Drosophila melanogaster: one gene and its partner. The gene in region 1 interacts genetically with each later gene. Each region holds a gene or a part of one and is shown in the gene's direction. Other genes may lie near its edges. The genes, in order: Acf and Chrac-16.

Evidence for each region.
Region 2: of Acf (region 1) and Chrac-16, changing one enhances a phenotype caused by changing the other (phenotypic enhancement), as found in Drosophila melanogaster (one study listed by BioGRID).

Annotation. Positions count from the first base shown.
Region 1 is NT_033777.3:31,792,060-31,800,092, forward strand, and holds Acf (ATP-dependent chromatin assembly factor large subunit), read left to right. Parts: upstream 1-1,921; 5' UTR 1,922-2,308; coding exon 2,309-2,430; intron 2,431-2,922; coding exon 2,923-4,153; intron 4,154-4,211; coding exon 4,212-6,574; intron 6,575-6,633; coding exon 6,634-6,809; intron 6,810-6,875; coding exon 6,876-7,314; intron 7,315-7,379; coding exon 7,380-7,479; 3' UTR 7,480-7,740; downstream 7,741-8,033. Other genes in the region: Mccc1 (Methylcrotonoyl-CoA carboxylase 1), read right to left, coding at 1-25, 85-591, 646-1,411, 1,519-1,559.
Region 2 is NC_004354.4:12,016,472-12,020,096, reverse strand, and holds Chrac-16 (chromatin accessibility complex 16kD protein), read left to right. Parts: upstream 1-2,135; 5' UTR 2,136-2,223; coding exon 2,224-2,646; 3' UTR 2,647-2,872; downstream 2,873-3,625. Other genes in the region: Lsm12a (LSM12 homolog a), read right to left, coding at 1-90, 156-272, 339-469, 772-916; regucalcin, read right to left, coding at 3,126-3,318, 3,376-3,625. UniProt on the Drosophila melanogaster protein: Histone-like protein which promotes nucleosome sliding of ATP-dependent nucleosome remodeling complexes. Part of the chromatin-accessibility complex (CHRAC) which uses energy/ATP to increase the general accessibility of DNA in chromatin.

The DNA of each region.
Region 1 (8,033 bases):
TAATGTTAGTGTCCAGACCAGATATCTAAAATTGGTTTACCTTTAGGGAAATGTCTTAAAGGTACAAATTTTTAATGTTCTCACATGATATTCACCCAGGCGGGCAACCAATGAGTTAAGCGCTTGTGTGCGGTTTTCGCCCCAAACGACTAGCTTGGCAATCATGGGGTCGTAGTGCACAGACACCTCATCTCCTTCTCGGACACCCGTCTCCACGCGAACGTTGTTTGATGGTTGGGGAGTAGACAAATATCGCAGGGGTCCGGCTCCGGGCAGAAAGCCTCCGCGAGGATTTTCTGCATAAATGCGAGCTTCAAATGCGTGGCCACGCCGCGTAATCTCAGATTGCTTCAGGGGTAATGGCTCACCGGCGGCAATGCGAATCTGCCATTCAACCAAATCGGTGCCCGTAATCATTTCCGTTATAGGATGCTCCACCTGCAGGCGGGTATTCATTTCCATGAAGTGGAAAGAGAGATCTTCTTTGTCTAGAATGAACTCCACGGTGCCAGCTCCTACGTAGCCCACAGCTTTCGCTGCACGAACAGCAGCCTCGCCCAGCTCACGACGCAAATCTTCCGACAAACCTGGCTGTTGTATAAATGAGCATTATTTTTAAAATAGCCGAAGCTCTTGTGCACTTACAGCTGGCGCCTCTTCAATAATCTTTTGATGACGTCTTTGCACGGAGCAATCTCTTTCCCACAGATAGACAGCATCACCATACTGATCCGCAAATACTTGAACCTCTACGTGGCGTGGAGATCGGACGTACCGCTCCAGAAGCACAGAGCTGTCGCCAAACGACTTCTCGGACTCGGTGCGAGCTGAGTTCAGAGCGGTGAGGAAGTCGTCCGGTTTTTCTGCGATTCTCATGCCTTTGCCTCCGCCGCCGCGGACGGCTTTAATCATCAAGGGAAAGCCAATTTTGTCGGCTTCTCGCTGCAAACACTCATCTGACTGATCATCGCCATGGTATCCATTGATGATCGGCACCCCAGCAGCGGCCATTATGGCCTTGCTGGTGCTCTTAATCCCCATGTCCCGGATGGCGGAACTGGGCGGACCCATGAAGATGATGCCCTCACGCTGGCACAACTCGGCAAACTCGACGGACTCGGAGAGGAAGCCGTAGCCTGGGTGGATGGCCTGGGCGCCCGAACGCTTGGCTATGTCCAGGATGCGTTCACCGCGAAGATAGGAAGCCGAGGAGGCAGCTTCCCCCACGCGGTACGACTCGTCTGCCAACTGCGTGTGCATGCTCTTCTCGTCCGGATCCGAGAACACGGCCACGGTACGAACTCCCAGCTTGCGTGCGGTTCGAATCACCCTGCATGCGATCTCACCACGATTTGAAATAAGGATCTTGCTGATAGGCCGAACTTTTGGGCTGGCTTCTGTTGCAAAGCACCTGCGTCAAGCCAAAACAAATTAGCAAGGTTTATGTAATCGTCAAGAACGAAATTAAGTCTTTTGATTTAGCGGCCTTAACAAAGAACTGCCGATCATTTCCCTCACCTGGCGTTTGCGCCGAAGTTTCGCAGCAGTCTGGCGTACATTATTAGTAGAATTAATTGTAAGAATAAATAACAAATATACTTTATTCAGAGCAAGTGTGCGATCGTCGCTTATCACAGCTGGAAAAACGCACACGCACAAGATCGCAATTGAGATGGGCGACTCACGAGATGCATGGTTGAAAATATTAATGTTTCATATATCTTTTGGGGATTATCATATATCATCAATATCTTTTAGGGAAATTGATATTACGTATATTGTGTTTTTTTTAAGTTGCAACCCATAAAAAATATTACCGTTATATTATTCTGGACTATTTATCGAACTGTTGACATCCATCCGACCGCGTCCTTACGGTTTTCTGCGCTCGTGAAGTTCGGTAACATTGTTCGCAGAAACTCGATAACCGATAGTTTAACGTCGAAGAGCGATAGGCCCCAAAATATGCGCGTGAAAATAGATTGTGCGCTATAAAATAAACGGATTTAGGTAGTTGGTGTTGAGGAAGCCAGCCACAAACATAGTAGAAATTGTCGGAAAAGTGTCGCCCGCCGACAGCTTGTATAATTGCGTCGGAAGTCAACGCGCGTATCGCTGGAAAACCGTTTGCATCGAAAGCCCCTCCGGAAAGGCGTGAAAAGTTGGGCGCCTTTTGCGCTTGTCGCTTGGCGTTGTAAAATTTATCAGTTGCTCCGCGGTTGTTTTTATTGTGAACTGTTAAACGTGCACTTCGAAGGACTGCCATTTAAACTTAAGGACATTCAAGAGCAAAAGGAAAACACCAAACATGCCCATTTGCAAGCGGGAAGGATTCGACCTGAATCAGAAGGAGGGCAAGAACGAAACATTCCACGACAACGACCAGGTCTTCTGCTGCTACATCACTAAGCGCATTTTTCGCGACTATGAGTAAGTGCATCCTGCTACCATTCCTGCAACTGCCCCTTCCCTTCTCCTGCCATTAGGTGGACGCTGCGCTAAAGTATACAACAAAAGCGACGCTGCAAAAGCATTTGCACACGATGTACCGTACATCACCATTCAGTGTGTGTGTGTGTGTGTTCGCAGGGGTGCATAAGTGTGCGAGTCTCGTGGGCCAAAGGCGAAAAAAACGCTGTTCGGTGGCGGGAAGAAATTACAGCTGCCGCCGCACAGCTGCTCGCCGCGGAGTTGCCACCTGGTGCCAAAGCGCGCGCTCTTGAATTTGGAATTTGTTGACCCAATTCGACTTATATGATCCTTCTAGATATTTTTAAGATCAGCAATTATTTAAGAGGCTGGGTAGCGCGAAACTATTTTAATAAATAGCAAACATACTAAATATGTTTTACTCTGACAAGCTTCAATTATATCAAAATAAATTGACCTTAAAACGCTGATCGATTAAATTTATTTATCCAGACACTACTTCCGGCACGTGATGGTGATCAACTCAACGGTGTGGCAGTGCGAGGCCACCGGCAAGGAGAACCTCACCTACGAGGAGGCGGTCAAAAGTGAGCGGGCGGCTCGCAAGAAGATGGAGCAGTTCAAACAGAGCCTTCGGGCACCCGTCCTTCTGGTTGTGGAGCACGCCCAACAGTCGGCGGTCAACACCTTGAACATGATAGTGGCCAAGTTTCTGCGCAAGCGCTACTTTATCGGCGAGGAGGTGTCGGTGCAAGCTAAGAAGAACGCCACGTACACGGTGTTGGGTGTCAAGTTGGACAAAAATATGCCGGAACCACTCAATGGTATCTATGAGGACACGGACAACCTGGTCTACAGACTACGACCAAACAAGGGCGATCCCAGTGCAGAGCTTGATCTGCCCTTTAGGCAATTACGTCGCTCGCGCATGGAGTTTAACCTGGAAAACCTGAGTATGTTTATAAAGAGCAATGTATCGCGGGTGGATGGACTTCTTCGACCCAAGCCAGAGGCATACAAGCAGTACGTGACGGACCCTGGCGTAAACTTCTCCACAATTTTCATTGGCAAAATGCCACGTTATTCTCCCGCTAAGATTAAAAAACCTGACGGCAAGAAGCAATCCACTCTCAACAAATATATTGTCGCCGGTGAAGCAACGGCTGCAAAGTCAAAGGCGAAGGCCAAGTCTGATGCTAAATCTCTGGCAGAGGAATTGGAGCGGGTTAAGCGAGAAAAAGAGGCCAAGCTTATTGAGTTGGAAAAACAAAAGGCGGAAAAGAAGGCACAGTTGATTGAACGCGTTGAAAACGAATGTAATTTACTGCTTCAAAAGACGGACGACCTGGAGAGAACCGACCAAAAAGTCCTGCCCCGCTACAGACAGATCGTCACATTGCTGCCTGAGCACCTCCTGGGTGATGCCTTCATGATGCGCGAGTTTATGCACACTTACACAGGATTGCTGTCCGGCATCGAGGTGTTCCGTCAGAACCTCAGTTTCTACGAGATGACACGTGCACTGACTGCTCGTGAGATTGCGGGCCCACTATCGGACATCCTCCTCGTTCTGCTTGGCACTGTTTTCGATCTGCAAAAAGAAGAGGAGGAGGAATGCGCAGTGACCTACCTCGATCGGGCTGCACAAACTCAGGAGCCCTATTGGAGTATGGCGCAGGCCGCCAAAAGTCACCTTTACGCCAAGAGGCACTTTTCCTTTAAGGTCAATACTTTGTTTGTGCCGACGTGTGTTATCTAAACTAATTTTATTTTCCCAATAGGTAAATGAACTACCATTAGATGCACTGACTCTCAGTGAAGTGCTACGACTGCATCTACTTGGATCCGGAGCTTTTGTAAATGAAAAGGCGGAGCGCTGGAGAGTCATGTACCGGAATGGCTACTCGTCAAAAGAAGACCCTGGTCTGGAACTACGTCTGGAACACTCGCACATCCTGCGCATTCTCAAAAATCATTCCGTATATCAGCTAAAGTTTAAGGATATAATGCTCCTGATTCGCTGCCTGATGTCCCAAATTATGACATACTCGGGCACGATTAACTTGATTGAGGAGCGTATGGAGCAAACAGCAAAGGCCAGGCAAGATCTACGAGCTCTAGTTGTCGGGGAAAATAAGAGATTAGCCGCCGTAGAGATAAACAGGAAAAAACTCACGCAAATGCACCACCTGGAGGTAAATGGCGTTGAGCCTGAAAAGAGGGAAGCGTTGGTCGAGAAATTAAAGAAGAGTATTGCCGAGCTACACGCCCAATCGGATCAGCAACATCGCAAGCACGAGTTGCAGATGCTTAAGTTGCATTCGCAGCTTTTCAATTTTTTGGTTTACTTGGGCATGGATAGGTGCTACAGGAAATATTACGTTTTGGAGTCTATGCCTGGGATCTTTGTCGAGCATTCGCCGGACAGCCTTGACACTTGTTTGGAGCAACCAATAACAAATAAGTCCCAAATAGAAATTCGTCAGCAGTCTGCATTGCCAAAGAATCGCAAGGACCTAAGGGTATATCTACTCAAACTCTACGGAGACGACGAAAAGAAAACTAAGAAAAAGGCCAAGCACTCTCTAGAGAACAAGGAGAACCAAGAGCATCGCCTTAACGGCAGTGCAGAACCCATGGATGTCGAATCTGATTCTCCAGAGGCTCCCACTCATTTTGAGCTCTTGATGTGCAGTGGTGACAAACGATCTTGTATTGTGCATGATTCAAGAAATGGGCAACGGCAGCGTTGGGCATATATTTACAAAGCCGAGGAGATCGATGAATTAATTAAGGCTCTCAATCCCAATGGTCTCCGTGAATATGAACTCCTTCAAGAGCTATCCGTTCTGCGTTCCTTAATCGAACAGCATGCTAAGACCTGCCCAGTAGACTTGCTAAGTCTAGAAAACGAAACAATGCGCAAGAAGTTTATGGCGGCGATGGAATCTGAAACTAACCGTAAATACGGAGAAGCAAACTTTGGGTTACCGAATGGGACCGATCTAAACGAAGTGATGCGCTTGCATTTAGTGGATCGAATTATTCAATTTGAAAATGATATTTACACTGGTGATCTCGGCCGCCTGAAAGTTAAGGATATGGAAAAGTGGCGAAGTGACTTGCTTGGAGGCAATTACGACGCTCAGTGCAAGTTGCAGTGGGGCCCGGGTGGCAAGTTGGAAGATGAAGCTGGTTCTGACAACGAATCCCACGAAACTCACGAGGAGGACGATGGCGCACTATTAGGTAAATATGCCAGGAAACCATATCGCGATCCTGGCATGTATTTGGCAGCTTCTGCAGACACAAAACCCCTACCAGACAGCGACGATGAGGAGGATCAGCATACGAATGCCGTCTCGATTCCTATCGCCGTGCATAACATGGCCTCGGCCCTTCTGCAAGTGGAGCAGGCTATTGGAAAACGGTTTCTGAAGGAACCCTACGGCATGAAGAAGTGGGACCCCAAGCAGGAGGCTTTAAAACTTGCCTGCGACTCGCGTTTGCACCAGTGGGAAGTTTCGCTAATGGAAAGTACAAGCTTTGCTCAAGTCTTTCTGCACCTAAACATCTTGCACGACTGTATTCAGTGGAGGCGTTCCACCAATAAGTCATTATGCAAGGTCTGCAGGCGTGGCAGCGATCCGGAGAAGATGCTGCTGTGCGATGAATGCAACGCTGGCACTCACATGTTCTGCCTGAAGCCTAAGCTGAGGTCTGTACCCCCGGGCAACTGGTATTGCAATGATTGCGTAAAGAGTCTGGGTCTCAGCAATGGTCAAAACGAAAAGGATAAAAAGCAGGCGACAAAGAAGAAACGCAAGTTTATCGTAGAAGAGGAGGATGATGAAGCTACAGACGAAGAAGAGGAAGAGAAAAAGGATGACGATATGACCGATGAGGATGCGGAGCACGAGAACGAAAAACACGATGAGGACGTTGAGGACGACGAAAGTGTGACCTCTACCCCCTCATCTTCCAGAGTCAATGGGCGAATTTTAAGGCGACCCCGCACACGGCCAACAAGCAGAAGACTTACTTCGAAAGAGATCGAAGAACATGCTCAGGAAGACGTTGACAGCGGAGACGTCAGCGATGACGCATCCTTAACCGCCGGTGAAGATACGATCGAAGACGAGTCGTAAGTTAAAAACTGGATTGAAAATTAAATTTAGATAATGAACCCATTGCAATCCACAGAGATGAGGAAAAGGTGTGTCAGAAGTGTTTCTACGATGGCGGTGAAATCAAATGTGTGCAATGCAGGCTATTCTTTCACCTGGAATGTGTTCACCTCAAGCGACCGCCTCGCACAGATTTCGTTTGTAAAACCTGCAAGCCGATGCCACAACGACCTAGGCGCCGGCACAGTAACAGTAAGTCCACAAATTTCTCCTTAATGAATAGCTCACTAATAGCCCGTGTGATTTCTGTCCAACAAGTGAATGGTGATCATGACCGCGATGAGGAGGAGCCAAAAGCAAAGCGACCACGTAACTCTTTGCGCCTATCTATCGACAAGACCGCCCGCCCAAGCAACGGCAACAACAACAACAATAATAACAACAGCAGCGTCAATAACAACAACCATCGCAGAAGCGGGCGTCGGACGAACGAGCACATGCCGTTGAACAGTGCCGCCTTGTACGATCTGCTTGAGCAGATCATGAAGCACAAGGCCGCTTGGCCGTTTCTGCGACCAGTGCTGACATCGGAGGTTCCCGACTACCATCAGATCATCAAAACGCCCATGGATCTAGCTAAAATCAAATCCAAGCTAAACATGGGCGCCTACCAGCTAAACGAGGAGCTGCTCAGCGACATTCAGTTGGTGTTTAGAAACTGCGATTTGTACAACGTAGAAGGCAACGAAATATACGAGTGAGTAGATTGGGATAATCCGTAAGTGGTCTTGTTGTTTATCCTTTATCTTGAATCCGTTGCAGCGCTGGTTGTCAACTAGAACGATTCGTGATCGATCGATGTAGGGACATGCAGCTACCGTTTAGGCCTAGCGATATGAACGGGGAAGTCAAAGCTTGCTGAGCCGGACGCTGATCTCCACCAGCTATCGTGTAAATTAGTTAGTCTACTCTAAGCCGTAGTTGAAAACCATATATATTTAAGCACAAATATTAAGTGTATTTAAAGATCTTTATTTTCGTGCATGTCAGTTCTAAGTTCAGCACACGCATATGCAAAAAATCCTTATCTGTTGGTTTATGAGACTTTATGTATTTATAAATTATTGTAGACACTACGAAAATTCCACAATCAATAAATGAAGTGACCGGAAACAAACGATTCAAAATAAATAAGTAAAAAAAATTGTTTTGTTGGAGGTGTAAAAAGCTAAAATTAAATGAATACAAATTTTAAAAGAGCTTAGCTCTGTATAAACGCAGGAAAAATGGGTAGATGGAGTTTGCCAGTTTTTAAAACAGACGATTTGATCGCAAAAAAAAAAATATTGCTTAAAGAACCTAATTTGCCAAATTCTTTCTTAATCGAGAAAAAAGTGTTGGATGCTGCATTGTTATTATTACTTTTTATGAAATCTAAGCTATGTGTGTTTCACTGGACATTAAAAGTAAGAGTGA
Region 2 (3,625 bases), on another chromosome or scaffold:
GGACACCACGTTGTCCACTCGGTACGGCGGCGAGATGGTGACTTCATTTAGGATCTGTATGTTAAGTCCTTGCCAGGAGACTTCATTGTACTACAAAATAGTAAAAGAAATAGCAATGGTTAATGATGATAGGGCATCGTGCAAGAGGTCATTACCCCGTATTGTTTGGCTATCGCTCTATAGAGTTCCTGCGCCTCTGGACTGACATCAGCATTCTTAGACTTCAAGTAGTCCTGTCTTCGCTCAACTGTTTTCCTCAGACGCATTTTGACCTGTATAAGCAATATATATATATATATATATATATTTATGTAAGTGGTCAGAGCTGGCATGCTTACCTGTTCCAGATTAAGCTTTTGCGGATCATCAAAGTTGCCGTTGCACTCCTTGATCACCTGCACGTTGCTGCAGAGCGAGAGGTTCATCGCGTAGATATCACTCAGCTCCTCCGTGGACTTGGATCGGCATTCTATGCGGTTGGAAAGGGAAGAGAAGAGCAGGAACGGGGGGCAAAGATATACGATGTACGGAGAACCAAATTGTCAAGCAGTAAACAATGGGTTTGATAAGAGATAGGTGATATGTGAATGCTATCAGTTAAGATGAGTGTGAATTAGAATTATATACGAATCTAAAGGACAGTGTGACTTTTTGTCCAGACAGCTCAAGAGATCCCTGTGGACAGCCGGAGAAAGTGCTCGCTTTCACCCGGCGGGCAAGTTGTGTGTGTGTGTGGGTATGCATTTCGGGGATTTCGTTGCAAAAGGATACTCAGGATAAGCATCTTTGTGTTGTGATCGAAGGCCAGCACCTCGCCCTCCACCTCCTCGTTGAAACAGGTCGTACAGACGACTGTGGATCCGATGCTGAAGCAGTCGTTCACTGCATTCACTGCGCTCGCAGCGGCAGCGGCCATTTTTAATTGCTGGTTGAGATTGGCCAACTGGAAAAGTGCACCCACAAGCTATGTGGATAGGGGATTCGAATCTAGATCTAAATGTCGATACTGGTTTGTTGGCACGCCGTTGCTTGAACAACGTTTCACAAACAGCGATGGTGATGATGTTGATGATTTTGCGGCAGCAGCAGCTGTTTTGGATGCTTGAATTCCTGGAATTCTCGAAAGGATTTAACTAGCTCTCTCGCTCGCTCTCACTCTCGCCGTCTGTCTGTCTCGTTCTCTCGTGCCGTGCAGCTCACTCGCTTTCACTTGAACCGCTCTAATGGAAATGTCGCTTCCTGGCGATCTGGTCGAGATCCTGCTCCTGCTTCCACTGCCCCTGATCGTCGCGTGAATTGGCCAAAAACTCGCTGGTTACTCGCTCGACTAGCTATCGGCTATCTATTTTGGCGGCAATTGCGGTTCGGTAATTGAAAAGTTGGAAAAGTACGCGAAAAATTTATTGGTCAACACACGAAACAACAGCCAAAAGGGGGCAGCAGAAAACGCAGTGTTGCACATGCCGCGCAGCGATAGGTTCGATAGTCATCGATTACGGAAGTCTGGCAACGTTGCTGCAAACAAATCAAGTGCAATAATAATTTATTGATATTTATTTATATGTGAGTTCGAAAATGAAGACAGATTTTTAAGCTATAAGTGTGAAAATCCAAAGTTGATTGCATACTGAAAAGACAAAAGTAGATAATATTGACTTGTCTAAATGTTGTTGCAATTGAATGTTTCCTTATAAATCGTGCAGATCCTAATCGTTTTACCCCTAATCTCTTGATTAAGTTAAAGGTATTTGCTTAGAGCGGTTTTTCCACTAATAAATTGAAATATTTGGAAAACTTTTATTAAATACTTGTTGTGGCTACCGATAGCATATCGGCGCAACGTTATTTGGTTAAATTCCCGCTCCAGCTAGAGCTGAAAGTATAGGCAAATCCGAATGGGTTTCTCAATTTTTATATATTTAGCGCTATAACTTAATTCTGAGAAAGTAACACATATATTATTGTGCACATCCAATTCCTTGCAAAAATAGAAGTATGCCAGCATTGTTCGTTTTAAGGGAAGCCCTGCGGTTACTTATTTTAAGTCTTCATAAACCATAACCATCGATAGCAAATAAAAAAAAAGAATCGATAGTGTCTCAGAAAGGTACGAATTTCATGCCTCGATTGTAACATCGATAGTTTCACAGCTCCACTTGTGAGCCCAGCTCTAAAACCAAAAAAATTCCCAAGCCATAGTTTGCTTGGGAATTAAGTAAACAAATGGGCGAACCAAGGAGCCAACCACCCGTGGAGCGTCCACCGACCGCGGAAACCTTTCTGCCCCTCAGCCGCGTGCGAACGATCATGAAGAGCTCCATGGACACGGGCTTGATCACCAACGAGGTGCTCTTCCTGATGACCAAGTGCACGGAGCTATTCGTTCGCCATTTGGCGGGCGCGGCATACACGGAGGAATTCGGCCAGCGACCGGGCGAAGCGCTCAAGTACGAGCATCTCTCCCAGGTGGTCAATAAGAACAAGAATCTGGAGTTTCTGCTGCAGATCGTGCCGCAAAAGATCCGTGTACACCAGTTCCAGGAGATGCTGCGGCTAAATCGCTCCGCCGGCAGCGACGACGACGATGACGACGACGATGATGACGATGAAGAAGAGTCCGAATCGGAATCGGAGTCTGATGAATAGACGGTCATGCAGATGTTTATCTACACCGAAATTGAGTGGATGATCTCCATTCACCAAAACATCGACTGATTTTTTACGCCACCTTGCTATCTTTAATTTTAGACTAGACGATAAGTATAAAATTGTTTATAGAACCACTGATTAATAAAGAAGCATAAGAGCACTGCGTCCTCCAAATGACCATAAGATCCGCGGATGATTACCGTGTGTCTGCGGCTGATAAGATTGTTGTTTGAAATCAGAGTAAAGTAGAGCATAGTCAACCTCTTTGTGAGTTTACATGATGATCCTGGATATTCCCAGGAGAGAATGTGATCCTTAAGCTGACCTTGAACTAGAACTGCAAAAAAGGATAACCTAACTAGCATGCAAAACATTGATAGACGCGATTTAAAACGTTAAAGAGCATAACATATAATTGCACTTGGATTCGATTGGTACATTTTACTGCGGCTAAGGATAGATAGAGATTGCAGCTCCTAGACCTTCAGGTTGACGCCGGGATAGCCGGTGGCGTTCAGTCCGGTCACCTTGTAGGTGGTGCCAGCTGGAGCGGGCTGATCGAACTTGGCGGCAGTGGTCACGTACAGGATGTCCAAGTTGGGGCCACCGAAGGCGGCGGAGGTAATCTGTTTGGTTGGGAACTTGATCTCAAGCAGAATCTTGCCAGTGCTGCAATGAAGTACGACATTTAACACTCGATCACGAATGTTAGAGTGAACTACTCACTTGGGATTAACCTTGTAGATGGTGGCGCCATTGAAGGTGGCCACATACAGGTTGCCCTCGGTATCGATGGTCAGGCCATCGGGCAGCAGATGATCCTTGGGACTATTCTTGCGCAGATTGAATATAACCTTGGGATTGCTAGCCACGCCGGTCTCGAAATCATAGTCATACGACTTCACCTCGTAGTCGGTGGTATCGATGTAGTAGAACTTCTTGGCCTTCTCGTCCCATGCCAGTCCATTGGAGATGC